4 linked regions of the Styela clava genome follow. The main gene of each other region encodes a partner of the protein of the gene in region 2 in a complex. Links are inferred from orthologs where the notes say so. Each region holds a gene or a part of one and is shown on either strand. Other genes may lie near its edges. The genes, in order: nuclear pore complex protein Nup107-like, nuclear pore complex protein Nup98-Nup96-like, nuclear pore complex protein Nup214-like and PCI domain-containing protein 2-like.

The links.
Region 1: nuclear pore complex protein Nup98-Nup96-like (region 2) and nuclear pore complex protein Nup107-like share a complex: the UniProt entries of both Drosophila melanogaster proteins name them as parts of the nuclear pore complex. The link is inferred for Styela clava from reciprocal best matches to the Drosophila melanogaster genes Nup98-96 and Nup107.
Region 3: nuclear pore complex protein Nup98-Nup96-like (region 2) and nuclear pore complex protein Nup214-like share a complex: the UniProt entries of both Drosophila melanogaster proteins name them as parts of the nuclear pore complex. The link is inferred for Styela clava from reciprocal best matches to the Drosophila melanogaster genes Nup98-96 and Nup214.
Region 4: nuclear pore complex protein Nup98-Nup96-like (region 2) and PCI domain-containing protein 2-like share a complex: the UniProt entries of both Drosophila melanogaster proteins name them as parts of the nuclear pore complex. The link is inferred for Styela clava from reciprocal best matches to the Drosophila melanogaster genes Nup98-96 and PCID2.

The regions. Positions count from the first base shown.
Region 1 is NC_135258.1:21,257,825-21,265,203, forward strand, and holds the start of nuclear pore complex protein Nup107-like, read right to left. Parts: upstream 3,003-7,379; 5' UTR 2,933-3,002; coding exon 2,895-2,932; intron 2,331-2,894; coding exon 2,227-2,330; intron 1,912-2,226; coding exon 1,819-1,911; intron 1,381-1,818; coding exon 1,304-1,380; intron 101-1,303; coding exon 1-100. Other genes in the region: uncharacterized protein LOC144427178, read right to left, coding at 3,277-4,026. UniProt on the Drosophila melanogaster protein: Plays a role in nuclear pore complex (NPC) assembly and maintenance. Required for nuclear import of Mad. Mediates the association between the nuclear pore complex and a subset of active chromatin regions adjacent to lamin-associated domains.
Region 2 is NC_135250.1:14,540,462-14,548,221, reverse strand, and holds the start of nuclear pore complex protein Nup98-Nup96-like, read right to left. Parts: upstream 3,023-7,760; 5' UTR 2,815-3,022; coding exon 2,766-2,814; intron 2,086-2,765; coding exon 1,960-2,085; intron 1,067-1,959; coding exon 821-1,066; intron 67-820; coding exon 1-66. UniProt on the Drosophila melanogaster protein: Part of the nuclear pore complex (NPC). Required for MAD import as part of the Nup107-160 complex and required for nuclear export of Moe probably via its association with Rae1. Plays a role in nuclear mRNA export.
Region 3 is NC_135255.1:11,062,720-11,070,519, reverse strand, and holds the start of nuclear pore complex protein Nup214-like, read right to left. Parts: upstream 3,021-7,800; 5' UTR 2,910-3,020; coding exon 2,862-2,909; intron 2,102-2,861; coding exon 1,955-2,101; intron 1,486-1,954; coding exon 1,288-1,485; intron 285-1,287; coding exon 172-284; intron 1-171. UniProt on the Drosophila melanogaster protein: Part of the nuclear pore complex. Serves as a docking site in the receptor-mediated import of substrates across the nuclear pore complex including emb, RanGAP and phosphorylated Mad. Protects mbo/Nup88 from proteasomal degradation at the nuclear pore.
Region 4 is NC_135256.1:15,194,897-15,202,456, forward strand, and holds the start of PCI domain-containing protein 2-like, read right to left. Parts: upstream 3,015-7,560; 5' UTR 2,925-3,014; coding exon 2,889-2,924; intron 2,632-2,888; coding exon 2,468-2,631; intron 2,041-2,467; coding exon 1,933-2,040; intron 1,382-1,932; coding exon 1,327-1,381; intron 1,188-1,326; coding exon 1,084-1,187; intron 707-1,083; coding exon 632-706; intron 524-631; coding exon 428-523; intron 26-427; coding exon 1-25. Other genes in the region: E3 ubiquitin-protein ligase MARCHF5-like, read right to left, coding at 4,886-5,802. UniProt on the Drosophila melanogaster protein: Required for the export of nuclear mRNAs and involved in mRNA trafficking in the cytoplasm.

The sequences.
Region 1 (7,379 bases), on a different chromosome or scaffold from region 2:
ACTGTAATGTTGTCATATGTTGAGTGAAGCCAGATGGAGTTTTAGGTTCAAGAAGATTTCTCGTTGCATCAAGTTCGAAATTTTCATCAGAAATGTCAAGCTAAAAATAACTCTTGAATATTAATATTCTTCAGAATTTTTCTGTACAGAAACTACAGATGATGAAATATAACAGAAATCTTGTACAAGACTATTAGCCATGTGTCAAAATGCTATAAATTTAACCAAATAACAAAAGAAAGAATTTATTCCAAAGGGGAACATTTCAAATTAACTGATTTATATTAGTTTTCAATTGAAAGAAGCATAACAACAAATATTATTATTAATGATAGTACCAAATTACACGATTGGGTTAATTAGGTTCTTGCATATACATATGTCAACATAACAAAAATATTTACTGGTAAATTTTGAAGACCAAACTACTCACAATTTGTGAACTGTAAAATGCCGAATTTACTTTAGACAAATTAGTATGATATACTACAGCAATTGAAAAAAATATATATTTCACTCAGTTTGCACTTCTCAGCCAAGATGGGATTTGGTTTAATCAATAAATATTAGAAGAAAATGAGTTGGAAAAGTTTGGTATAATTTACAAACAGATACGCAAAAATATCGACACCTCAAAACCAAACAGTGCTAAGTCCACTTTTCCAAAAAATGACATTTTTCAATTGCTGATTTTCCTGGACTTAGCTCTACATTTTGGTCTATTTGCCTTATCTCTAGGTGCTCTAGATCTCAAGACAGCTATGGACATAACCCTGCTTTTTTTAGGGCATTTGAGAACTAAACAGACCTGTGTCTACTATAGTGGACTTAGCTCTGGATAACTGCATTGTAAGTTGGGGCTAAGTCCGTTTTTTGGACATAGCTCCTCTCAAAAAATATAATACAAAGCGCTAAGTCCGTTTTTTGGACATAGCTCCTCTCAAAAAATATAATACAAAGCGCTAAGTCCATACCAGCCTCTATAATAACATAATAAAGGGGCCCTAAGTCCAATAAAATTGTTTTTGGTCCAGAAAATTGAGAGCCAAAAAGGGTTAAGTCCAAAAAAAAACCCCAAAAAAAATTGGGGCGGAGCACAAATTTTTTTATACCATCTAAATATGGCCTTCATTGTAACTTTGGTGGACCATAAAAACTAGACATCCTCAATGTAAGGTATTAGAGAAATAAAAAAATGAAACAAAAAAAAAAACGTTTTTCTCAAAACTAGAAAAATGGACTTAGCCCAATTTGGATTTCATGCGTCGATATGCTTTAGAAAGTCACATACACATAATCTCACCATGGAATATTCTGCTTCTTGTCTGGCCATCATTGTTCTAGGAAATTGCTGACTGGTAAAATCATAATTTGTCATTCCTGCAAGCATTCAAACTTTATTTTTAAGTGAACTAGATTCAAGACAACAAAAGTTCTATTCTTCGGGTTTCTGTGAAACTGATTACTTACTTATCCTACTTTTATTGAGCTAATAGATTAGTATCTCCATAATGTAAGAGTGCTAATGTGCAACATGTTCTTGAATCACATAGAATAGCTTGCAAATTGATGATAGATGATAAACAAATTTTTTTAAGATAATTCTATGTAAATGTGCACACAACCCTTATCATGATTATACCCTTAGAAACAAGTAGATTAGAGATTATAATTTGGCATAATTTTGTGGCTAGTTACAATGTGTATGGTTTCCAAAACTTAATAACAAAGTCTAGCAAATTATAAAATGCCAATATAGAAGTAGCGACCTGAAGAATAATTTAATATTATTCAATTCAATTCATCTCATAGAAATACCTCGGCTATTTGAGCTAGGTCCAGAAATTGGAGTAATTGCTTCAAGAAACGCAGGATTCTCTTGAACTATACTCTCATCCAGTTGTTGAAGACCTGAAAGTTAAAACTTGTATTAAGTTTATAATTAAGCAAGCATTTATATGCCAAGTAAGCACACTCCAAAGTTTTCCTCTTTTATCCACCAAAAATGGGATAGCCACCCAGTCCACAACAAATCATGAAAGAAACTAATGTTGACTGTATATCTGAAGATACTTGTTATATCTGATTTGCATTTATTACTTTGGTTCAGTAATACACCTAGTGCTGCTTAATTTTTTACCAAAGGATGACAAAAAATCTGATATAGAGGGGAGTGAAGAGGAATACCTCATAATCAAGTTTTAAAAAATTATATTCTGAAAATACTTTGATATTGTTGTGGTGTCATCCTTGATCTTCTTTGCATACTTCTTGCGTCTCTCATTGTTGATGGTGAATTAATCAATCCACTTGCGTTCAAACCTCGAGTTCTGAAACATAAGAGATAAGCATATGCATTTAGGATACCGAGACTATCACAGAATATTGAACACCTTAGGAAGAAACTTATTTTCAATTTTAGGAAATTACTTGGAAGACGTATCAAAAAAGGGCTATTATATCTTGCTGGCATGTCTGTCCAACAGAGCACTTAATGCACAAACGAGAATATCGGTCGGAGACCGAAGACTTATCAATCGAAAATGCGGTTTCGATTCACGACTCTATAGTGACACAGCGTGTCCCATCACTAATTAATTAATAACTCGCTAATTATAGGACATAATTCATCCAAAATCAATAGGCTTCTGGTCCGAGGTATGATGAATGCACATGCAATTTGGAGCAGATTCAACCTCGCCTTCGTGAGATATCGCGTTCATCTAACAGACAAACAAACATACGGACAGACAAATACCTATCAACATACTTAACGATCTTAAGATCGATAAGTAAAAACTGAACAATCACCAACATTGAAGTAAATTTTATTATTGAAGTAATAAAAATAATATAGGTGTGAAAAAAACATTGGCAACAATTTATTCGCTTACCTACGACTACCAATATATGATCCATTCCTTTCATCCATGTTTTGAAAAAATGTTTGAAGAATTTTGAAGTGTCCCAATAACAATTAATATTTAAATCTATGTTCTGAAATAACCGAAAATAATGAAAAACTTACGATAGTGAAAAAGGCACAGTCTTAGAATGAAAATCGGCAGTGAGAGAAATAAAGCAGTGATGGAACAACAACTGGGCATATCAAAATACCAGAAAGAAAGTGGCCAAATATTCAAGTACAAAACATATAGAATTGACCTTAGCAACAAAATGATATGAAATAATCAGTTGTGTCCAATGTTGTCCAAGAGTCAGGGGTAACACCTTTTAAGTTCTAATAATTTTTTTGATTCTCAGTACACATACAACTTATGAGCATTCCATTGGCTGATCAGAAACTTGAGCACTAGCAAATTCTGTTGGTAAACAGGTCTGGTCACGAGGTGGAATTTGAAGTTGTTCAATCATTTTAATACACGTCAATGCTTCACCAGTTTTCTTGTGTTTTCCTTCTAATGTTTCAGTTTCCGGTTCACTTTCAGTGTCTCTCTCATCTCCACTGGAATACTCAATATCAGTGAGGGTACCCCCTTCCATGGGGTCGAAATATTCATCTTCGTCAGATTTATATTCCTTATCCATATCTTCATCTAATATTGTAGCTGTTCTGTAGTATTTGAAAGAATCTTTACCTTCTTTTTTATCAGAATCTTTGTCCTCCTGCTTTTCATTACTGACTTCTTCTTCTTCTTCATTTTCACTATCTTCTGCTTTCATTTTAGCTTGTAATTCCTTTCGCCGCTGTTCATCATTCTCATATTTTAGTTGGAGGAACTTCTGACCTCCGAGTTCAATTAATTTTACATCGACCCCAACTTCTTCTTCTCCACTTGAGCAAGAATCTTCTTCCTCATTTTCGTCAACTTCTTCATTAGGAATAAAATCTTCAGAATTATCGTCTGCTTCAAAGTTAGTTTCTGCAAATTCCTCTTCTTCCCCATCACTTTGAGAATCTGCAGTCAGTTCCTCCGTCTTCTCAACTTTTTCTTCAACATGTTCATCCACTTTCTTCTCAGGAGCAATGGTGGCAGTTACATTTTCGCTTTGTACATCAGACATGATTTATTATGATTGGTTTATGGTTATGAAGTACAAATTTATAGACACTATAACTGAGCATATGAAACGAAAGAAGATCAGGATGATCAAAGCGAAATTGTTTTAAAAATTACCACCATACCAAGATCATGAATATTCAAATAGTGAGAATCAAAAACCATGAGTCTAATAATCAAACAAAAAATGATAGAACTATATCAAGAGAAACTTTTCATGTTTTTTATTCATTTTCAGCTATTTACAAAATTAAAATATGCTGGTTTGGAAGTATTTTATCTGAAGCATGATGCAGAAATAGTTTTTATTAGTGCATCTGTAATAAAAAACTAGAATTTGGGTTTAGTCAAGTAAACATGTTTGAATTTACCTACTTTCAATGTTCATTACAGCTTTTTGCATAGCCTATGTTCAGATGTTGGATATAAAAAAATAGTTTAACATTTACAATCAGAGACCACACACGCTGAACATCTGAGACTGAAAGAGTAGGCTTATTTGTAAAAAGGACTGGACTACTGCTTTGGCCGACAGAGGTTCAAGCTTCGAAAACCGGCTGCGACATTGCATTCGCAAAGGTCAAAGATCAATTAATCAGCGACCAAGTTCATCAGAAAGTTCTGTGTTAATGTACAATTGTGAGTATCGAGATACAGGTTACAAAAAAACTTGTGTTTGGAGGATAGACTCGTATAGTTGTTAATTGACATGGGTTTTGGTGAGCTTGTGGGAAGATGATGAAAGATACGTGTTATCAATAATTAGGCAGTTTATAATAGGACCTATTCGAATTTGTCAGCAGTGTATATTACAGACGATGGGTACTGAAAGTCGGAGAGTGGTGTGGTTCTTAAACTCTGAAACTAGTCACTGATTGCATGCCCAATTTCTGTATTTCTCATGGAAAACGCCATAAAATCCGGACTGGATCAGAATAAATCAATCAATGACTACTGCAATATTAGAATATTCAGAACAGAAATACAAAATCTACAAACAAATAGGCCTACTTGGGTGAGTTTGGCGAGTAAAGCTTAGCTAACTATGAATTAAGTTGAAAAGTAGTCTAAATCAATATCCGGAAATTAATGAAAACTATGAACAGTGGTCAGTAGTGCATTAAACTAAAAGCAATCAGATAAGTATAGGTATTTCGGGTCTGGTATAGTTCAGTACCACATGTACTTCTACTTGGCCTGGCTCAACAATTTTTGCATATGTCAATCCTAACCCCCACCTGACTACGCCATTGAAAAAATACGTCATTCCGACGTCACAGTGCTGTAATAAGGCCCACCAAAGTATGCGGATGGTTGTCCAAAGCGCGCAGACAATCATCCAAAATCGAGCAACCATTTCTCTCGTTTCTCGTCACAACGATCACGATAGGAGAGAGATTGTCAGCGTTGGCGAGTTGGCGCTGATGCCATTTCGGGCGATGGGAATTTTACTTTGTCAGGCCCTATGGCGTGATAGTGACGTAATTTTTGGATGGCATAGTCAGGTGGGGGTTAGGAATAACATATGCAAAATTCGTTATAATACGTCCACCGGAAGTATTTGTGGTATTAAACTATACTAGACCCTTCATTTCAACTCCATAATCAGCATAACAATAAAATAATTGCAAAAAAAAAAAAAATGATTATGAAGATGAAGTGAGAGTTTATCACTAGAATCAATCAATCAATCATTTTATTTCGGCTCTCTGACTAAAACGGGACAATACAAAAAAGTAAACAGACAACAAATACAGAGATACCTGGAAGGCGAGCATAACTTAAAATAAAGTTAAAAAACGTACAAGTACGAGCCCACCCACCAAAAAATAAAATAGGAATAATACGAGTATACAAAAAATATGGACACGATTCAAAATCGGGCAGTGCTTATAACTCAATTTAAAATGATAAAAGCCAAATAATTGTTTGAATCAGTGAATAATTTACATGGAGTAAAATAAGAGTTGCGCTTGAAATAAGACAGCAAGATTCAAGTAGATAAAACTAAATGTAATAGAATCCCAACCACCTCCTCCGTTTCTGATAAATGTTTCAAATGTTCTTATACGATTATGGTAGCTGAGAAATCGCCAGGATTCTGGGATTAGCCTTGCAGTAAATATATATAAATAAAGCTGATCTCTCTCGAATTCTGTAAATTTTGAGTCTGAGATTCCTATATAGCATAGAAATATACAAGTCAAAATTTATGGGAGATACCGGTATCGCTTGCTGTCAGAAATGCAAAAAATCACCAAAAAACTATCAAATGTGCAAGACAGATAAATAAATAGGCTACATGTTTGAAAAGCAGCATGAAGTTTTGAATCATTAATATCGTGTTGACTCAGTCACTACCTCAATACATGTCCAGTATCATTACTTCAGCTCGAAAGGGACAACTGTAAAACCTGAATGAGGGAAAGTTTTCTAGGGAAACGGTAACCAGATGCCACGTCCATTCCAGTGACCCACACGCGCGCGAAAACAGTGGGGATTTCCCTTGTTTTATCATAGCTTCACCCTTGGCTTCACCTAACGGTCAATTTGTCGCGCTCAAGATATGGACCTTCCCCCGACCTTTGATCACCGAAAAATTCTTCCTGTACTTTACCATTGCAAAATTTTCGGGGCTATTTTAAGAGTGCTTCTGCGAGTTGACGCCTGTAAAATGGGGTGTGTTTTTCAACCCATCATTACGATTCATCGCATACAACAATCCGTTTTTTAAAAGTACCGGTGAAGAAATTTAGCCTAGTCTTTCACAGCTATTTCTACACTAATTTTTCCATACTGCAATTAAATTAAAACTCCTAGGAAGACAGAGTGATCATTGAATTATCTGATTTATATTTAAGTTTCCGAAACAAAACTGAAAACCAACGATGAGAGTTCAAAAACGAGGTAATGTTTACGACCACGCTTGAAAATCTGTCTGAGCAATGACATTAAACAACATGATAGGCAACTCTGACGTCACTCCATAAGACTACATGCGAAAGATTGTATTTCATGATACGCTCCAATGCACATATTTCTCGTCGCCTTTCGCGACCGTTTTCCGCTTGCTTTTGCTAACCGGCGTCCTCTTTACGTTTAGTACCTGCCTTTTTGCGCCTGTAACGAAAGAAAATAATCTCTATATCTAAGAAGTTTTGCTCACTTGGAAAGCTGGAATGACATACAAGCTGTAAAGAGTAATTCTGGACATCATAGACTTTTTTTTATCAGAGAAGATTACAAACGCGATAGAGTAAAGATTTGTGTGGGACATTTTGCAGATAATGACAAAGTTCAAAGTTAGTAATTTTAAAGTTTGCGCTTAAACATTGAAATTTCATTTAAAGAGGGTGT
Region 2 (7,760 bases):
CTGTTCCTGTGGGAGGGTTGAACTTAACCGCTCCTGTGCCATTTTGCTGTTGAGCAGATGAAAATCCTATCAACCAAAAACAAACAGTTTGAGTTTCACATAAGATTAAGATAACTAGATCAGTGGTTCCTAACAGTTCTACCCTGGCGGGCCAGTAAAATTAAAATCAATATGCTTCTAGACAAAATAGTCACACTTAAAAACATTTCACACGAAGAAAAACTATCAAATAATATGCGGCCCAAAAATTGAAATGGGTGAAACATAAAATAAAATCATATATTTGAGTAATGAAATGCAGTGCTGGGCATCCATTATGCCTGAGGAAGGCACTTATAAAACATCACATATAAAAAGAACAAGTACATGCTTAATCATGTACAAACGCAATTAACTCTAGTGAGCACTTTGCTGCTGGGCTCAAAGAAGTTTCTGCAATACCTAGTTCTGCGGTTGATCGACGCCTCAAACAAAATGAATTTACATTACAATGACAAAGTTGTCGGTAACTTTGCACCAGGCTTAAAATACTGGAAAAGATCTTTGTGGCCTTTTTTTTTTGCGTGTCACATGACCACCTGCAGGGTCGCAACAAGTTCATATCTTGCTGAAATACTGTTTTTGACCGTTTTCTGGTTTAAACTGGCAAAAAAGCACCGGCGGTTGGGAACCACTGAACTAGATGAAACAGGAACTTCAAGTCAAAGTCAAATTTAAAATTTGATCTACAAGTACAAGATGAGGTGACAGACTCACAGTCATTCATGTGTTAAAATTATCATTTACATATAAAACTTTACAAGTATTATGGATAACGTACCAAAAAGGCCCCCTCCAGTAGTTGTGGATCCAAATGAGGATGTTCCACCTGTGCTACCAAACAATCCTCCAGTTTTTTGCTGGCCGAAAGCTGAACTTGTACTTCCAAAAGCAGAATTACCACCAAATGCACTTGTTCCACCTGTAGCTGCCGGTGTTCCAAACAAACCTCCAGGTTTGCTAGATGTTGGAGTTCCAAACAACCCACTACTTGTAGAAGACTGACTAGCTCCTCCAAAAGTGAAGCCTGGTGAAATAGAAACAGATTGATTATTCCCGAATGCTGAGGTGTCTGTGTTATGATCACTTTTCCCCCCTCTTTAATAACCAGCACCTCTCTAATATGTATAACATAATAATGCTTTGCCAAAGTATGAAAAATATTTTATGGAAAAACTTTATGGAAAAAGCTGATATCCTCCTAACTATTGTCAAATTATCACTTCACAAAGTTTCTTTAATAAGAATTTCGAGGAATAGGCGATACATTAGCATTTTACCAATTTCATTAGTCGAATACAATAGACTAATAAAGAAGACAGATAGATAGTTTTATTTCGAAAACTCCACAATCTGACAATACAAACGAATAAAAAATGAAGAATTCCGGAGAGCGAGCAAAACCTTTAAAAAAGTTTAAAATAAGATGAGTATCATGTGCCCGCTCACCAACACGCATTTACAAAAAAACACAAACTTTGTTGAACAAGGCTTGGGCAAGAAATAAACACACAAAATCCGCGAATGTAATGAACTTTCGGGCTGTTGTTTAATTTTAAAATACTCAAGCTAATAAGGACCAATTCAATCTGGTACATAGATAATGTGTGTATTTGTAATGTGATAAGGTGACGAGAAGGGTCAAAAACCATGAAAACTACATTGATTTGGCATTGGTGACAATGTGATACAGTGAATCAAGATACATATAAACAGATCAAAACAATACTGGTAAATTCATGCGCTCAAGCAATTATAAAAAGAAGTGATCGAAAATGGTCCTATAGTTTTATACATTGATTGAAGATATAATAAATGGCTGCCATTACAGCACTTGAGTGTGCTTAGTTTGAGACAGCATGCTCAACAAAATTATTAGACTTTTTGAAGTGTATCATAATACAGTAAAAAATTTTATACCGGTTTTATTTGCCCCAAATGCTGGCGTGCTTGTGCCAAACAAGCCACCTGATGTAGTTGATTTATTTCCAAATAGCCCTCCAGATGTGCTTGTACTTCCAAAACCTGAATTATTGGTTCCAAACCCTAAATTCGAAATATACTGCAATAAATAATCTGGGCAAGACAGCATGGTAATGCACATGCTTAATAATTTGAAAGCATAATAACCAAATATCAGCTGTTAGGAACTATGAGTTTTGAATCCTGAGGTATAAATAGAGTAGGGCACAGTTTTCTGATTCCAAGGTGTCCTAACATTTGCTTCAATAAAACAAAGAGTCTGGCACAATGGCAGATATGCCATGTTTATCTGATAATTATCTTAATTAATTATAGTCGCCATTGCCACGAAATGCGTTTTTTTTGCATAAGAATTCTCTAATGCTACTGTAAAATTTTTTTTGAAGAATTTAATGATAATGTTTTTCGATTGCACTTGTTTTTAGTTTATAGAACAGTGCCGGTTTGCGCATTTTTGCCGATAGGGAGGCCAAAAACTGTCTCGCAAAGGCAGGAATTGCACTTACTGCTATATTTGATGTCTTTCATTATGGGGGCTATTCTTGTAATTAGAGAGCTGAAATCAGTGTACTTAAATATGGCTATATTATTAGATACCATCTAAGGATGTTATTGAAATGCCATATAGAATACAGGAATGGGTAGTAGCTACACAAGCAGTGCACTGCTCTTCGAGCATAGTCTATTGTGCGAGCAGGTAATTATATCAATAAACCTGTGGATTTGTGACATAATTAACTTACCTCCTGAGCCAAAACCTGAAGATCCGAATCCTGACTTCTGACCAAACATCTCTACATTTATATGATTAATGGCTTGTGAAGAAATTATTGTTCACTTGAACTGTCACACTAAAAAACGTGGAGAAACACAAGAACGGGCAGAGACTTCCAGACTTTTCAATCTCAAACTATTGAACTTTTTTCTTTCACAGTTTTGATTAAAATATTTTGATATTGTTATCACCTAATACAGTAATACTTTAATACAGAAATAGGTTCTCCTGAGAGTGGAAGTGGTGACTCCTCTTCGGCCCATGGGCCGGGGCCACGGCCCATCAGGCTATGGGCCACGGCCCATCAAGTTGTGTAAAGGTAAACTATTCACTTGGCTAACACAGACAGTCCCCAAACTCATAATAGAACTATAATGTAACAAATCTGAACAAAATTATGCCCTAACTCTAACCTGGTACACATACTACAGGAGTTTATTTTTTGGTTCGAATATTGACAATTTTGTAAAAATTGAAAATTTTGGTAAGATAATTGAATTTTTCCTGACGGGGCCGCGGCCCATAGCTTGATGGGCCACGGCTCATGTGGCTCAATTAGATGGGCCGTGGCCCCGGCCCATGGGTCGTAGTGGAGTCACCACCCCTGTAGTCTCCTGAAGTATATGCCCACAAGTACCTAAGTAGGCCTGGCTCATCAATTTTTTGCATATGTCATTGCTGGGGCTGTCCATGCGAACCGAATATTCGAAATCGAATCGCAAATTATTCGAATCGTTTTACGGCTAATTTTCAAATCGCTAAAAATTAGGTACATAAAATTTTTCATCGTTCAAGCAGCGGCGCTTCGAGCTTAGACAACCTTCGCCCCTGGCATAATTGGTTTCCCGATATTTCTTACATGTCATATTACGATAAAAATGTGTCTCTCCTAATGCCCAGTGGCATGTGATTAGTTATTTCAAGCATGGTCATAACCTAAATGTTATTATCATTCATGACGATTTTGATAGAGAGTACATAGGGTGAAAAAGGCAATATAAGTATCAGATAGAAAAAAGATAGTTCTATAAATAGAATCAATTTGCAGCTGTCCAGTTATTAATCATAGGAACATGGTACAAGTGACTTAAAGCTGAAACAGGTATTGCGGGTTCTTTATGATGGCAAAACAGGGTTGTCCAAAACGAATCGAATATTCGAATGTATTCGAATATCAAAGTATTCGAATACCTTTTCAGCTCATTTTCGAATAATTCCGAATAATAGCCACTTTTCGCCGTAAACGTGGTGTTTCGTTTCACGGGAATCTTCAAACGACTTTTTAAGCTGTCTCACGTATTGTAATGACGATGAAATAGAATCCTCACTTTGATTATTTGGATTCTGTGCGACCGTACGTCGCAAAGTGTTGCGACACATTTGCACGTTTGCGTGGGTGGACATTGCCGACATTCGTCTACGAGGCTTTCAATTTACAAATTCATTTCCATTACCTCGAAAAATTGACAATTACCGTATTACATGATATTTAATCGCAGACCGGTTATCGTTACTTTAAAGAGAAACACGGCCACCGAGATAAAGTGATTTGTGACCCTTTCGTTTTGCCGATTCAGCAGAACACGACAGGGACAGGAAAACACAGCTGTGAAATAACCCGTGGACGTACAGTGTAGTACTTATCACATTTCAAAATTATTTCAACTTTCGGGTTAATAGGTTGTCCAAAATGATTGACGCTTTACAACTTAAATTTACCGCTCAATTGTTAAAAATAGTTAATTCTGTGAGTATGATTCTACCGAACTAACATGATCTGGTTCTGAACATATAAAATTGTTAGCGCGTATAAGCACAACTGAACAACAGGGACACAATTTTTCTACCCGTCTTATTGGAGGCCTATATGGAAAAACCCATTTTTTGAGTGTTAAAAATAGACATCGTCCTATTTGCCAAGTGGACTTATTTAGCCGGGAAATACGGTATTTATAGCCGTCATTGTTACGATATCCAATAAATTGTGACAAGTTGGAAAAACAAGTCGATTCATTAGAAAATAATTTCTGGCAAATAATTCTGATAACGATGGTTAAAAGTATCGATCTTTTACCAGGATGATTCTTTGTTGCGCAAAATAATCCAATCCATGACTGGTACCAGCATTTAAAATGTCATGTCGTATTAATTTAATTCTGCTTATCGTAACACATGGTTGTATCGACAATCTGTGGACATAAAATGTGTGGTAAACTGACCGATATTATTAAATATTGATTTCTATTTTTATATTGATAAAATAATGAAAGTATTAGTACCAAATACCACTGGTATTTGTGGACATGAAATACGTGGTAAACTGCCCAATTATAATCAATTTCGGATTCGTATTTAGAAAATAATAAAACTATTATATATAATTGTAAAATGCAACGGCGATCTGTGGCCTTAAAATGTGTGGTAAACTGCCCGATTTGTCAACTTTTGAGTTATGATGATAGAATTAAATTAACACGGTAAGGCATTTTGAATAGTGGTATCGGCCATTGATTCGAATATTTTGCGCAGCACAAAATCATCCTGGTAAAAATATGCATACCTTTTAAATACAAACCAATGGCAGCCATTATCCAAATTAGTTCCCAAGAGCGGGATAAAGTATAAAATTCTTTTTCCGACTTGTGACAATTTTTTCGTTATCAAAAACTAATTGTATTCGGCACAATATCTCTGCCATCTGTGGACATAAATTGTGTGGCAAACTCGCGATTAATATTAATTTTTGATTCCCATTATCGTATTTACAAAATACAACGGCGATCTGTGGACTTAGAATGTGTGGTAAACTACCCGAATATAAATAGTTTTTGATTCCTATTTTCATATTTATGAAATAATAAAAGTATTATTACTCGAACATACAACGGTGATCTGCGAACTTAAAATGTGTGGTAAAGTTCCTGAATATAATTAATTTTTGATTCGTATTTTTGTACTCACGAAAAATTGTCACCAGTCGGAAAAATAACTCATACTTTATCCCGCTTTTTGGCAAATAATTTGGATAATGGTTGGTATTTAAAAGTATGAGCGTTTTACTAGGATGATTTTGTGTTGCGCAAATATTCAAATCCATCATCGATACCACTATTGTCGTATTAATTTAATTCTGTTAACATGATTCATGGTATATATATAAAATATATACTGCAATAATCTGCAAATATGAAATGCCTGGTAATATATATAGCTAGGTTGTAACTTGTTGATAGCAGTTATTCCATTGCTTATTGTATGGAAATTCCTACATACATTTAGATAAGCTTCAATTAGTGGATTTTATTTTCGAAGTATTCGAAATTTCATATTCGAAAAAAATAATTTCGAATGTATTCGAAATAGTGAACTATTCGGTATTGGCCATCTTTGATGGCAATACCTTTTAGAAACAGAATGTGTAATTTCTCATGATGGCAATACTTTATAATTTGTATATGTATTTTCCATCCATTTACCAAGACATTGAACTCTTGCATTTTGATGGCTGTTGTACAGTAACAATGTTATAGTCATCAAACTAGCTCTGAATTTGTGATCTCCTTATATGCAACTTCGAATTTCTTGAACAACAGTATTATCTATATTAATGGTTGTTATCATTTTGCAGGAAATAACACACACAAAAAAAAACATAAGAGTAATGATAATAGGATTAAAATAGCATCTACAGGATTTGCATGTTCTGTTAAAACTGAATCCATTAGAATTGAGTAAATAAGGTATTGAGAGTTCAGCCTTAACACTCAACAGTTTTCAAAATCCTGATTTTGGAGACCTCTATTTGGACCAGTTTATAGAGGCAGGGGATCTCCTTTTATAACTCTAAAAACATAGTTATGCAAAATATCAGCAGTAAATTAGATTTAACTGGACATAAGTTATCACAATATCGAGAGGGAGTTTTTATTGAATAATAGAAACAGATTTAGGACTGCGCAATAATATTCAATTATTCGGTTCAATTCGACAAAAATATTCGATTCGAATCAAAAAAATATTCGATTTTGGACAGCCCTAGTCATTGCCAACCTTCAACTGCAGTACTGACTACGTCACTCGAAAATTACATCACTGCGAAGTTGCGCTGACATAATGTGGCCCTCCAAAGTAGAGACCCCAGACATACATTATTGAAAAGTACTGGTTATCGTATTTGACTCGCAAAACCAAAAAAAGCAGATTTGGCTTTGCAGACCAGTGCAAATGGATTACAGAATCGAACAGCACAGTGGTTCGCTTATGAATATACAGATATATCTACTTTCTATTTCTATGTACAAATATGAAATAGCGGATTGCTAAGATAAAGCATGTGAAAACAAGTTTTCCAATTATTATTTATCTACTATTTATGATATACAAATACACTATACCAGGGGTTCCCAAACCAGGGGTCGCGACCCCAAACCTCAAACTACACAGAAGTCATTTTCAGTAATAAATCTAATTCTAGATATGGGTGCACTTTTGAGTGAAAACATTCCACAAAAATTTATATTAATACCTGACCTACCACATAATCAATATTCAGATATTAGCGGTACGGAGACTTATAAGCAGATAATAGGGGCTTTTACCTTGTCGATAGCCAAAAATCTCTCCAACACGTTTTAAATGCAGTTATTTTGAATAAAACCCCAAGCCACAGAGTTATTTATCGGGGAGAAAAGGAGGCGCAGTTCTTACCACTCCATGGCAGCTCCTGCCACAAACGAACCGCGGCAGCTCTTGCCATGGTTTTATAGCGCTATTCTGTATTCAGTAATCAGTATTAACGGTATATTCACAAACTAATGTACCAAATTCTAATTGATCATGCGGAATTATATTTACTTAAACCCTAACCCTAACCCCAAATCCATCAAGACTGTATCCATAAGAAAAACGTTCCAACTTACCCAATATTTGTCACCATAAGGGACAGCCCTGTCCTTACGACCCA
Region 3 (7,800 bases), on a different chromosome or scaffold from region 2:
CATTTTGCAAAAGCACGACATTGTTGATTAAAAAATTATAAACAATCTAAAATTATAATTAATATGAAAGTGTGATTTAAATAACATAATAATCAAATAGACTGGTCAAAATATATGCTCAAATTATGTTTTTTAACAAAACAGAATAAATAAAAATATTACATTACTTACATAGCAAGGAGATTTGGCCAAACAGGTGAAGGATTCCATTGCATACTAACCACATATGAGTTTGGATCCTTGTTCAAATATATACTATGAAATGGAGTCTTGGTAGGTTTTGACTGTAAGAGATAGAAAATGAGAACTGTAATTCGGTGTAAGCCCAGAATATGGACAATATTAAATTTATTTACCATATATCCTCGCATATAATCAGAGTTTGAAACTCAAAAGTTGCTGAAAAAAGGGGTCGGCTTATTCTCGCATAACTCTGATCGGTGGTGCATACAAGATCAGTATGTAGTAAGAACTTCCTTTATGTAAAAAACATTATCTCATAGCTGTATTACTGATTGTATTGACCACTAAGTACTTCAAGTCTTATGTCAATCAACATTTTCTTGATCATAAGCACCACCATTATTCTATATTTTTTCAGTAGCCCTCAGCATTTCAGTTAACTTTGCTGATGTGTCTTTATTACTTCTGAGCTTTGAGTACATTTTATCATAAAAATTAAAAAAATAAGGTAAATTCTAATGAGTGAATGCCTGCTACTTTAGAAATAACAATCATAATATAAATTTATATTAAAAAGCAAAAGTATTTATATAAATTCGTTAAGAGAATATCTCTTCTGCACAAAATCTCTCCTAACACCACTTTGGTAACTAGACATTAACAAATTAGCATCTACCAGAATATGAATTTTAAAAAGACTGCTGATTCACATTTTTCCCTCTGAACAAGGTAATATACAAACGGCCACTGATATCTCACGATATGCAAGAAGTTTCATTTGGAAGGATCCGAAATGTTTTCGAGTCGGCATCGTGGGCCCTACTATATTACACTGGGGAGTGGTGGGAAGCTCAGAAATTAAACCTGATATGTGTAATCTGCGATGCCAACACAGTTGAGTCTAACGTTTCAACCACGAGGGCAATGTATTGCCATATTCCGATACGACCATCATTTTTGTATACAAATGAACATCTAAGTTTTTTCTTGATTTATGTTTTGCCTTTATAATATTCCTGATATCAAAATATAATATCATTTTGTTTTGCATTGTATATTAATGTACAACAATGCTATCAGAGTATTTTCTTTATTTCATTTTACCTTGTTGATAATATTCCTGATATCAAAAAATAATATCTGTGGTCCTTTACTAGTTTTACAGCACACAGAGAGAGTGAGATTATCAGAGTTTATTCCAATCCAGTTTGGTGGATTTCTCAGATCAATTGTCGCAACAGCTGAGTCAATTACATTCAAATTCTTCTTTCCAGCTTCAAGCAAGTCAGCAGAGGTCAGCACCTAAATAGTGAATAACATTTAGCTATTTTAGGGTTGTGAATTCAGGCGGCTTGGGATGCTTTTATTGATATTGGAGTCTGAGCTTGGGTCTAATTTTATACCTCCCTTGAGTCGGAATCTGGAGTTGAGTCGTCTCGACATATAATACAAGAAAGCTTGCATAAGCCAAATTTTTTCTCATCAAGGGGAGACAAATTTTCCTTCATATTGGAATCGAAAGCTGAAGTCCTTTTGACATCCTAATTCCTTTTTTAATGTCCAAGAGTTTGAAGTTTGGTTTAAACTTAACAGTCCAGAATATAATACAGAGGAATTTACTATGGTATTTATCCAATATTGACAGCATAAACATAGGTGCGTTACAAGCATTTAATTGAGTCCGATACAAAAGCAAACATATTCCATAGATAAATAAATTTTACTATTTCATCAATGTTTATCATTCATCACAGAAATCAACATGAGCTACCTTCAAGCCATCAGGCATTCCAATAAAGACATATCCATAGATGTTAGCAACAGCAAGAAGGCCAGTGCGTGTTGTGGCATATTCAGGTTGGCTTTCTGATACAAAAGCTTTCAAGTTTGTCAGTTCACGAAATGAAAATTCAGTTGGCTGAAATGATAATTTGTGCAATAAAAAAGTTATCTCAATTATATATTATTGAGAGAAACTATAGGCCTACCGTCATTTAATAGTTTGATATATTCAATTCAATTTTAATCGCTCTGGCATAAAAAACAAAACAATAAAACTAGGCCTACAAGAAATGGAGATACAAAGACCAGAGGTACCAAGGAGCACAGTTCTCTGATTTCAAGATGCCCCAACACTTTGGTTCAATAAAACAAACTCTCCATTTGTCGCTAAAAAGAGGGCTTTTGGCACGCCTCGGTCAAAAAATTTTTCCTTTGGTGAATCGAATCGGATTATTTTTTTCAGAGGAATCAAATGTGACGTTTTTAGATTGCGCTTCCTTTTAGTTTATTGAGCAGTTGAGTTGTGGCGATATGACTGTATGAAGGCCCAGACTGTCTCGCAATATAAAGGGTTTGCACTCACTGTTATAATTCATGTCTTTTAATGCGAGGGCTATTCTTGGAATCTGAGCCATACTGAATTGTGGCGATAAAACCAGCGACTTCAGTTTGTTTCAAAAAGCGCTATATCAGTATATTAGTGATCATTTGAGGGTCATTAAAATTGAAGTTTTCATACGATATCGCTCAGTAGACTATCACAGATCATTAAACATTTTGTATCAAGTTTTCCATGTTACAGAACAGTAATATGACATTGCAACTTATAGACTACAATTGAATATAAATCGACTTATTCAATCTATCATCTTATAAACAGTTAAGCATCTACTTACAAGTCTCTGTATTTCTGGTGGGAAATTTTCTTCTTCCTCTTCAGTCATTTTTAAAGTAAGTTAAGTTTCTGTCAAATTAAGTGCGTTTCAAAATACTGGAATATCATATGTAAGGAAATATTAACTAAGATTATAAACAAACGGTACCGGTAATAATACAACACTGAGTGCAAACTTCTAGAACTGCAGAATTGAGCATACGAGTAGCGCATTAGGAACATCGCATTACGAACAGTGAGGTTGCATTACAACAGCGCAATGGGAACACTGCGTGGCATTATCAACGGCGTGTAAATAAATAACAAGTCACGGTCGCGGCCTTTCACATATTCAGGACCAAGTTTGAGTACAAGGATTTCTGGGTCAATCCACATTCCACAACAACAAAAATCGTTATCTTGGCACTGCTTTTTTAACGTTTTAACGTACAATCCAATTCTAAGATAAGTAGAAAGACTCTCATAAAATTCGGGTTGGCGCGCACCCGCCCCGCGCTAGAGTTGTTGATGAATTCTCAAGTGAACTTTCATTTTTACGGGTTAGCGCAATATCAAATTAATATTTACAACTGACGATGTAATACAATTGCTTTTATCATTCATCAATTGCTAGACCATGTTTGATCAACCGATTGAACCGTTTTAGAAAGTCCAATCGTACAAATGTCTCGTTGTCACGACGGCCATTCGTTCGACGTTGAAAGAAAAACAAACGCCAGAAACGTCAAGTTTTCAGATCCTCACCGGTTTGCGAAATTAGATTTAACAATAGTACGTATATGAACAACAATATTGACATAACGTCATTCCACAAAATGTAAGTAATGTTTCAATCTACTAGGGTTTCAAGTTCCAATGCCACACTATTCATCGCCTTAATCAAGTAACATCAAATGAGTACTAACGTTATCACATCGTTACAATCAAATCAATAAGACGATAAGGTAATATTCTTCCATATTGACGTGGTCATATTATTCCTCAAATAAAAAAACACGCAAATCGGAAGCAATTTTGTCTTCCAGAAAGATTTCATAAAAAGTGTGATACTATCTTTCTCACTTGACAAATTCAATAACATGATAATATTGGGTTCTTCTTATCACTTTAATAGGAACATAGCGGACATTTTAGTAGGAACTAGGAACATATCGGGATCGCCATTTCAGAAGGAACAAAGCCATTTCATAGGGACATAGCGGACATAGCCATTCTAGTAAGTAAAGGGCGGAAATCGTTATTTTAGTAGTGACATAGCGCACAATGCCATTTTTGTAGGGACATGGCGGATTTTTTTTTTCGAAAAGAACATAGCCAATTTAGTAGGGACATATCGGGGTCGTGAATTTAGATTTAGAGGGAACATAGCCATTTTAGTTGTGACATAGCGTACATAGCCATTTTAGTAGGAACATATCGGAATCGCAATTTAGAAGGAACAAACGTTCATATAGAAAGAACATAGCGTACGTGCATTTTTAGTAAGGACATCCCTGTTTTAATAGAAGCAAACCGGAATTGCGGTCTAGAAAGAACAAGGCTATTTTAGTAGAGGCATACCAGTAGCGGATATAGCCATTTTAGTAGGTGCAACGCTATTTCAGTAGGAAAATGGCCATTTTAGTAGGAAGATAGCGATTTTAGAAAGGACATATCCATTTTAGTAAGGACATAGCGCGGCAGCGTGGCTCATCGTTGATTGATCGTGGTAAGGGTCGCCCGCTCTGCTACAACACACAGACAGTTTCGATTTTTTCTTGAAGAGATGGAATGTGCATACCATGATGTGCATCAGATCAACAACACTGAAGCAGTGTCAGATGGTTAAGTCTCGGTGAGGTTCTCGTGAAGTTTATCGAATGTCGAGTTGAGACAAGAGCCTTTTTGATAGGGCAAGGAAAGGCTTACCCTGAACTGGAGGACGAAAACTGGCTTGTAAAACTAATGTTTCTCGCGGATATCACCACGCATCTTAGCGAACTCAATCTTCGTCTGCCGGGTCCAGGGCAAACGGTGTTGGGTCTTTTTGAGGCATAGAAAGGATTTGTATCTAGACTGGATGTCTAAACACGGGACATCCAGAATGCAACTTTTCGATACTTCAAACACCTGAAGGCCTTTTCAATCGACCATCAAGTTGTTATTCTCCTGAATTTATTGTTTAGTTCTGGCCTATAAAATTAAACAATTTATGCTGTAGGTTGAAGGCGTGCGTTCATTGTTGATATGAATTGCTGCATTCATTTTCTATGTTAAACCAAACTTGCATTTATATTATTAATCCAATCTAAAGGATTTATATCCCATATCATAACTATTGTATATGTTGATATGAATTGCTGCATCCAATTTTCTGCGTTTAAACTTGCATCTATACGTCCCAAATCATTATTATTGTATATACTGATGAAAAATGCTACATTCTCTTCCTACGTTGAGTCCATACGAATCTGGGACATCTGCCTCTATATGTGGGCAATATGGATTATAAAAATTGATAAGGGACTGACCAATAATGAAAAAGCTCGACTCAATGTTTAAAAATTTATTTACAACATTTGGCTCTGGAAATTGAGAATTGCCAGTTCCTTTCGATTCAGTCTGACGAGACAACTGACATCATGTGCGTTTCCCAACTGGCTGTGATTTTTCGGTTTGCGAAAGATGGTAAACCTACCGAGAGATTTCACAGCTTTGTACCAATCGTTGATGGCACGGCTTGCGAGATATCGGCTGTACTGAAAGAAGTGTTACAGCCTTACAACGCGAAGTCAAAATTGATAGCTCAAACTTATGACGGCGCGGCAGTCATGAGTGGGTCGAAACATGGTGTTCAAGTTTATATAAAAGAAGATTTTCCTCATGCGCATTTTTTACATTGTTATGCACACCAATTTAACCTCGTTATTAAAAATATGTGTCTTGATACCCCTCTCGTCCGTATATTTTTTGCAAATGTTTCGGGGTTTTCTTCATTTTTTTTCCGTTTCGCCGAAGCGCTCTGACCTCCTTCGCCAGATATGTAGCCGCCGTCTCCCAGCTTGTGCACCAACACGTTGGAACTTCCAATCACGCGTGGTGCAGGGCGTGTCCGAAATTAGGTCTGAGCTCATTGAGTGTTTCAATGGCATTCAGAGCTCTCCGGTTTGGGACGAACGCTCTGTGAGGGAGGCGGCAGGTCTAAAGCGTCTGCTAGAAGATGGTGAGTTTTCATTTTTTCTCGCTTTTTTCTCCACAATATTCTATCACGTGGATGTATTATACGGCGCATTGCAGTCAAGGCTAATGGATGGAGCGTCTGTGCAGTCGTGTATTTCAAACTTCTGCGATGCTGTATCTCGTATCCGGGATACAATAAAATACGACGACACATGGAGTGCTTCTTTACGCCGCGGGCAAACAACGCAGCGTTTGATTTTGTCTGCAAAGGAATGCTGTGACATTCTGGTGAATCAAATAGGCGATCGTCTGCGCACTGAACACCTTGCCGCGTTCTCTTTGATGAACCCCAAAAATTTTTCAAAATTTGCACGTCAATTTCCCATCCATTTGTTGGCTACTGTCTCCAAATTTTACCCCATGATAAACGTGGGTAAATTGGTAAATGAATTGCGATGTATATACACCAATCAAACTTTTTTGAACATCACATCAACTTGCGCGCTTTATGGGTTCCTCATAGATAACACTCTAGTAACTACCTTTGCGGCGTCTGCAAAATTTCTGGACATCATTTTGACGACGCCTATTTCTTCCGCCGACGCAGAGCGAACATTCAGCACGTTGAAGCGTATTAAAACGTATCTCAGAAACACAATGAAGCAAGATAGATTAAATTCCTTGGCTGTTTATCCATTCACAGAGACGTTATTTCTGAGATGCATGACTTTAATCAACGCGTTATTGAGCATTTTGCTTCCAAGAAATCGCGGCGTGTTGCATATATGTTCAAGCAGTAGAAGTCTAGCAGCATATATATCTATGAGTGAGCGACGCATGTCCTTATCTTTGCATTAACTTTCCTTTCTCCATAGTAACGTTTTAAACCTTATTTTAGGTTTTGTCTGCTTTCCCGAAGTTTCTGTTAATATGTCATTGTATTTATCTGGGTAAATATTGCCTTTCCTTTTGAAATAGGTTTCAAAATAAACTATGTCTATATTTATTAATCCCTTGACTTGGACCGGTTTTAAAGACACTTTCTTATCGTTAAAAATTGTCGCTTTTGCCGATTGGTTGTTACCGATGGAATGGTTTTTATACTCATAAAATGATGAGAGAACTTACAGCGCTCATCCTGTCCCCGTAGATGGGGGTGACTTGGTCCCGCAGTAGCTTGCCCCGGTTGTCAAAATGACCACGCGCCGCCACTGCTATTATAAATATTTACTTTTTTATTTATCATTCACTTGTCTTCTTATATATTACTGTGACATCCCTCTGGAAGCAAAAAATATTATACATAATATAAAATAGTGAATATGGGGGGAGCTGACTCTGATGACCGTATGGTCTTATCGCTCCTCCCGGTCTATACCGAACATCTTTATTATTGTATATTTTTATTACTGTTGCAATACTTGTTTTTCTGGTTGACAAATAATAAATCTCTCTCTCTCTGATATAATTGAAATTGATATACAATTGAGGTACATGGGGGCTCTAACGTTTCAGTTTTCCAATAGATTTCGAGATTTTAAGCAATTTGATTCATTGTTTTCTTTTCTCATCAAGCCCGAGTGCACCGAAGACTTAAACTTATTTGTATTTGAATGGATGGACATCGAAGACTTCCAAGTGCAGCTGATCGATTTTAAAGCATCTTTATCTTACCACCAAAATGCTTTGAAAAACGTTTGTCAAGTGTCCCACTGTACTGCACATTCGGACAGACCCTGTGGCACAATGGGTCATTCTGTTAAAGTCAACAAAGTGTACAC
Region 4 (7,560 bases), on a different chromosome or scaffold from region 2:
CATTGCTTTACGACCGACATAAAACCTAAAAACAAACATGACTAATGTTATATACCAACTGTTAATTCAGAGAATTTCATGACAGGTTCAGAGTCAATTTCTAATGAATGTCATAATGAGTACACATTATGGTAATTGAAGAAATGTAAACACAATAATATTTTTCATAAATAGCGTCGAAGGATTTGAATTTACAATAGTAAACAGTTTTGTCCGGCTAACGGTTAACCTAATAATAAAAAATTCTCAGACGTAGATGACTTCATCCAGGTGCTAAAATGCATAATAGTACAGATATTTGAACGTTTTACCATCCTCAACAAATTTTTAATCTTAAGTTCTTAAAATAATTACCCAATCCAACTTGTTGGTCAAAATTATCTTAAATGATTAGGCCTAATAACCAGAAGTTTACTGACAGACTTACTTATAGGTCACTCTCTGGGCCAAAGTAAACCTTTCTTTTATATTATTACTCTCGATGGCTCGAATTAATGGTTTGCAAAGGTGTAGTTTTCCTATTCTGTTTAAAAACAAATGGAAGATAAAAAGAAAACAATGAGAGTGTTGGTTATCTTTAATACTATAACACGTTGGTCATAAATTGAGGTAAAATGAAAGCATATCTTACCTAAAATAAATTTTAAAAAGTTGATTGACTAAAAATAACATTCCCCATTTCTTTGACACTTCAATTGATGATCTCCTGCAAATAATAGTGTCAGTGTCAATTTGAACACATTTAAAATATTGGGATAAAACTATAGCAATACTCGATAAAAGACTAAATAAATTTATGTAAAGCTGTTTATGCCCGATAAATGCTGCTTCTAACGAAGTTTTTTATCAGTGATTTTCCCATTGACTTGATAGCTCCGCGTTTTCTTTCACATATAAAATGATCAAAGAAATCATGATCTAAGATTACTAATTCATTCAATGCAGATAATGGATATTTCAGAAGCGGAAATCCAAACAGATTGTGTTGTTATAAAACAGGGGTGGGCATGGTTTTTGGACCAGAATCAAGTTAGGCAAACAAAAGTAAACGAGCTGTGGTTCACTCTTTGACATGTCACATACCCATCACTAGCACAAACTCTAAAACAGCTCATCACAGTGTCTGCAGCTTTTTCCAGCATATCACCCTTCTTCCCTTTGCCCGTTCTTTGTAATTCTCTATCAGCCTGTAAATATTTATTAAGCTTTATTACAAATCAGTACGAAGTCATTGGAAGTTAAAAATGATAATTATCAATGGTTGTTTGAATATACTAGTCTAGAACTAATCGTAACTAACTTGGAATAAAGAAATTATACTCTTACATTATTTGCAAATGTCCTCAGATCCAAAATTAATGCATACATGATTGGAAGAGCCCTGTTAAAACAATATATCATCTTAGTAAATACCATATGTAACATCAAATGCTGGTAATGACATGAGAGGTCTATCAACCTTAGCCTGGAGTGGTCGATCCATGATTACTCACATAATATTCCACAAAATTAAACATCAAATAGGTGCGATTACGGATTGTAATTTTTATTAGGTCATACAATGCAGAAGTAACTACTGCAAGTCATCATCAGCAAATATTGTGACTCATTATAATTACTGTGTATATGGTATACTGATCAAAGCAAGTGCTTGTGAGTATTTTTTTTCATGGGATCACATGAGATCAAAAAGACTTCAAATTTACGTCCTGTACTGAGACATAAAAACATTATTTGAGTTGAAAAGGATTTTATTGCTTTTAAATTTTTAAAATAATTTAATCAGAGCAGAGTCCCACACACTCAGAAGTGAAAATTACTAACTCTGAACAAAGTTACAGGCAACACTGAAATGCCAAAAGCTAAGGTTTGTAAAGGAAATCTGTGTATAAATATTTCTGCTGTGGTATAACATGAAAAAAAAAAAATTACCAATTTTCATCTTTTTGTAATTGGAAAGCTTTAACAAATGACTGTATAGCCAGAACTTGATATCCATGAGCATCCTTGAAATTGTGACTTGCAACAGAGAAACAGGCTCTGCAAATGAACATGATATGCATAAGCTAATCTAAAACACAACTTACACATATAATGTTACAATGAATAATATATATAAATGTGCATTTTATTTATTCACGAAACAGGATATATTGAGTGCTACATAAAAAACAGAACCAATAAATTATTCAATCACTTCCGCAAAAATGAAGAAAATTTTATTCTACACTTGCAGGGAACTTCTGTTTGTACCCAAAAGTTTAAGTACTCTAAGACGCTTTTATGCACATAAAGGTGTTCTCATTTCAACTGGATCATTATGGTTCCCTATGGAACCACAAGACAAACACCAAAGAACTGTAGAGACCAATCAGTTCAGATCAGTGGTCCCCAAATTTTTTTAAAAAAATTCCATGACGGACCCCTATCTTAAATCTTAATTAAAAATCAAATTAATCTAACTTACTTTACATGAGCAGCAAATAATTTATCATATGGACTCTCTAAATATCTTTGGCAACTTCCCTCTGGATCATCTCTCTGCAGCTTGGAATTTGCAATGTGGGGATCTTTGAAGGAGACAAAACTTGCCAGTGCTTCACCATCACATTCATCTAATGCTGTTGAAACCTTGAAAAAAGAAGCATGGTCAAATATCTGGATGAAATTTCGAAACACTAATTTCAACGATAGATACCAGAAATGTATGTTGCAAATAACATAACAAAGTAGAAATAATAATCAAAATAGACCTTTTAATAAGAATAATTCAAAATATCTAATAGCAGGTTCAAAATTTCTGAATAAGGCTTCAGAAAAGCAACCCAACAAACCAAAACTATTTTAAAAACGAGACTGGGATTTGATCATAAATTTGTAACACTTACTTCTTGCAGATATTGATTTAGGGAATGGAACTCCATGTTGGAATAACTTGATGAAACTTTAAATAAACCAACATAAATGACAGATGAGCAAGTTGTATTTACTACTCTATTATTGAGATATTCTAAAGATAAAATAACAAAAAACAAAACAAAGAGTTTGTTCAGCTCATGTTTTACAACAATATTTGTTTAACTAACCCTTTTTTACAATTACTAGTAAAATACTGTGCCAATATATAATTTATTTTTAGATAGCTAGTCTAGACCTGTCATATACTACAATGACATAAATCAGCGCTCCAGAAGTATGTGTACCAATATGAAGGTAATCCCTAATTTTGTTCGCCTATTTTACATCAAATTGTGTGAAGGGACTGAAACCTATGCGCAGGGGGCTAACACAGGCAGTCCCCAAACTTGTAATAGAACTAAAATAAGGGAAATTGGAATAAAATTACGGCCCAACCCTAACCTGGTACACATACTTCGGGAGTACCCATAAATTATCAAATATTTTACATTTCAAAGTATTGCTGATAAAGCGAGATTTAAAATTTCAAAAAGGTCAAACATAGAACCAATAACAACATTGCCATACACTAGAAACATAAATAACGTAAACACATAAATAAATTCATAATTAATACAAATAAATGCAGCATAATCATGCATTGTGTCTGACCGCTCTGTATATTAATATGGGTTGAATAAGACAGCAATTCATGATTGCAGTGACTTATAAATTATAAAATTACATGTCAGGATATATTTTGGCAAGGTGAATGGAACAAAAAATATATTATTGACATTGGAATTTTTATATTGATTTGAAATTTTAACTATGCAATGAATGGTAAAATATATCCTGCATAGGATCATGCTCTGCAGGGAAGTTTTGTTAATTTATAGAAATTGAGTTTGGTATTGCAGATGAATACCGTAGTTTAGATATACATTGACTTAAGTGATTTTCTACAGTATCAGAATTAGAATTAGAGCTATTATTCACCCTACCCTCTGATGCCAAGTGCTTAAATTGACGAATTTTCAAATGGAAATATTTTAAAATTCTTTCAAAAAATATTTCACTATATCTAATATTTCCCAGTGTTGAATGTATTCAAATATTAGATAGGTCTTGGACAAAGACTGTCATGTACAAATAATGAACTTATAATATGATCCAAAATATAGGCTATAGGGCACACCATATAAAAACAATCTATTCACATGTAGCAGTTTTCTAATTAAAATGCAGATACTGCTTATGAAACCGATACTACCCCATGAATATTATTTATTGAGTAGTTGTGATTCTGCACTGAGTTTGGTAATTTAAATCAGAAGCAAATTGCAGACAGTCGAATCTTAGATTCCATGGATCATCTAACACAGTGATTCTCAACATGTGGTACGCATAGCACTAGTGGTACGCAAGCAGCTTTGGATTGTTGGATTATTAACAACAACTAACTTTTGAGTTGACAGAAATAAGCCGGCAACGCTTTCTCCTTATTTTCAATACTGTATATTTTTGCTGAACTGCATTTATAGCGCCACCCGTCGTTTTTCCAGAGATCAGGAATCGCCCTATTGTCAGTGCGTTTCTTGTGCCATTGTTCCCCACCCTTAAAATATGGTTTTGTCAGTGGTACGTGGCCAGAGTAAAAACCAGTTGAGTGGTATGCGATCAGTTAATAGTTGAAAACCACTAATCTAACAGGTATAAAACATGAATTGTCATTCTAGTAATAAACATATAAATTAGTATTGCGGTTTGAAAATACTAGAAATATTTCGGCTTGCTATTGCTCATGCAAAAAATATGAACACAAATATAGCTGATTTATCCGGATCAAAGTTTCAAAAAGTATAATGTCTAAAACTCTTGTAGAATTAATATTAAATTTCATATTACATAGTTAAATCTCAAAGGAACAAAGATATATATAGCTGAATGAAGTAAATTTGCATGTAGTGGCAATTCTTTAGAATAATCAAGTAGCAGTCTCCAGTTGTGGAACAGGTTCTACATAATCCTTGATTTCCCTTTGTCCCATTCTTGATTGTACTTGATATTTCAAATAGATATTCAAAAATCCTTTGAGAATAACAAACGATGCGCCACCCAATGCACTCCTTTGAAAATTCGACTCAACGCTGTGAAACAAAAGCTTTCCGAAAATAGTTGCAACGGTTGGAAAGATCAAAGCTCCACAAAGAACTCTCGTAAACTTGATTTCTCTTGTCTGTCGCATTTCTACTGGAGATGGAGGAAGTATGGTTGAAGTTCCTTCTTGTGAAGGGCGTGTCCCAAAAATCAGCTTTTTCAAGTAAACCAACTTGCTAGAGTGTTTCTTCCATAACCTCAAAAGATAATCGTCCCATTGTATCATTTTTCCAAGGACAAGACCGACTGGTATCATAGGAAGGCCGACAAGTAAAAATAAAGGATCTGCTCGCTCCATCATATCTAACCCTTCTTTGTGGCCCAAAACTTGCATTACTGTGATTGCTCCATAAGTGACCGCACTCCAATATATTGATCCAAGAAGAACTCCGGTTGCCGCAATGGGTGAAGCTTTAAACACAATGTGATCAATCGTTTGAATAAAACTCGTCAATTTTCCAAAAGGTGGAAAAACAACAACATATTCAGTGTTGCATTGTGGACATTTTACTTTAGTAAAAGAATGGCCTTTCTGCTTTTCATCTATCCATCTCATCAAACAAGCATGATGGACCCACATTGTCGTACCTTTGCAACGACAAGGCTTCACCCATTTCATATGTTCATCGTCATCTGTTCCAAAACATACCCAACAACTTCTATATGTTGAGCTTTGAGGATCCTCACTTGTGCCAGTCCCAACAGAAGTTGAGGAATCATTAGCTTCCTCCATCATATATGTACCTGATAATTATGCAGATATGGTCATTAGACTATGAATAGATAGGTGATCCCTAAGCTAGGGAATTAGAATCAAATTTTCAAGGCTAATAGCGTTATTACTTACCGATCTTAAGATCGGTAAGTATGTTGATAGGTATTTGTCTGTTTGTTTGTCTGTCTCTCTGTTAGATGCCCGCGATATCTCACAAAAGCGAGGTTGAATCAGCTCCAAATTTTGCGTGTGTATCATCATAGCTCGGATCAGAAGCCTATTGATTTTCGATGAATTATGTCGTATAATTAGCTAGTTATTAATTAATTAGTGATGGGACACATGGTGTCACTATGGAGTAAGAGCGCTGTTTTGGGGCATCCCCTAACCTTCAATCGATAAGTCTTCGGTCTCTGACCGATATTCTCGTTTAAGCAGTTAAGGCATTCATCCTGCTATACCAGTATACTACCCACAAGACAGACTGTTACTTAAAAAAAATAAAACTATGGGCTCTATTTTCATATCACATTTTTGTTTGCCATTATTCAAGTAGTTATGGCATTCACTATATTATGATTATTCAATAAATGTTATGAACTATGGGGTACAGGCAGGGCTGTATTTAGACAGCAAGAGGCCACTAAGCTAGGCCTATTTCATTTGTAATGTCCCTTCAACAATGACGTCACAACGTTTCACAGAATCAATTATACGAAATTTTATTTACAGGCAATATACATTCGCTAATAACCCGAATAGATTGGATAGTAAGTTAAATTTAAGAACTTCTTCAAAAACCCAAGGCTGTAATAAAATCATGGCATTGGATAGGGTTCATAACAACCATTTACGGTCGCGGAAAAGTGAGGGAGGGGCCATGGCCCCAGGTAGGCCTACTTATAAATAAAATATTACTAATAAAAAAGTTATTCGTAATAAACGGGTCTTTGTTAAAAAACTATCCGAAAATCATAAAATAATTAAATAATTCTTAGATTAAATATTGCTTAGATGAATGAGTATAGCTATATATCGATTTGTATCATCTTTTTCAATAAATAGAGGGAATTATTATGGTAAAAAACTGTTCATTTATTTCGAAGTAGTATATTTGTTTAGTTGAAGGGGTGAAGTTGGAAATTTGGAACAATCCATTCATTCGATCGTATTTAATTGTTAATTTTGTAAACAGAATATATTTGCGACAAGCATTAAGCCAAATAAAAAATTCAATGAATGTCAATTTAAAAAAATTTTTGAATCAGTAAAAGCCTTAAAATTTAAAAACGACTTAAAATGAATAACAGTTCAAAATTGGATGTCGAGGCCCCTAGGCTACCATGCCTGGCAAATCCGTACACCACAATTGTAGCCTTCTACAAAAATTGCAAGCTATGTTCACAACCAGCTGCTGCATTCTGCGTCAATCATCGTTGATTCATTAATTATTAAAAGGTAAGATAAATCGCAGAATTTTGGTAGTGTTTCCCAATTCTAATTCAGATCCCTTGGCACTGGTCCTTTGCATAATCGCACATTTCGTTCGATAACCTGGTACAGTGGTACTGTAGGTACCGTACCGGTACTCGCCATATTATTTTAATAAGGCACTGCGTTTGATGAATTTGCGCCGAAAGTGCAGCACCAACATTTTTCTGAACCACCTAATTCATGCCTTTTTACAGTCAGACAGTTCAGCAGTTGTAGGCTTGTAACCTACTGGCAGACTGGTCCAAACTTCCAGCTGCTTTCAAAATATTTTTTTTGCACCACCCCATAGCCAT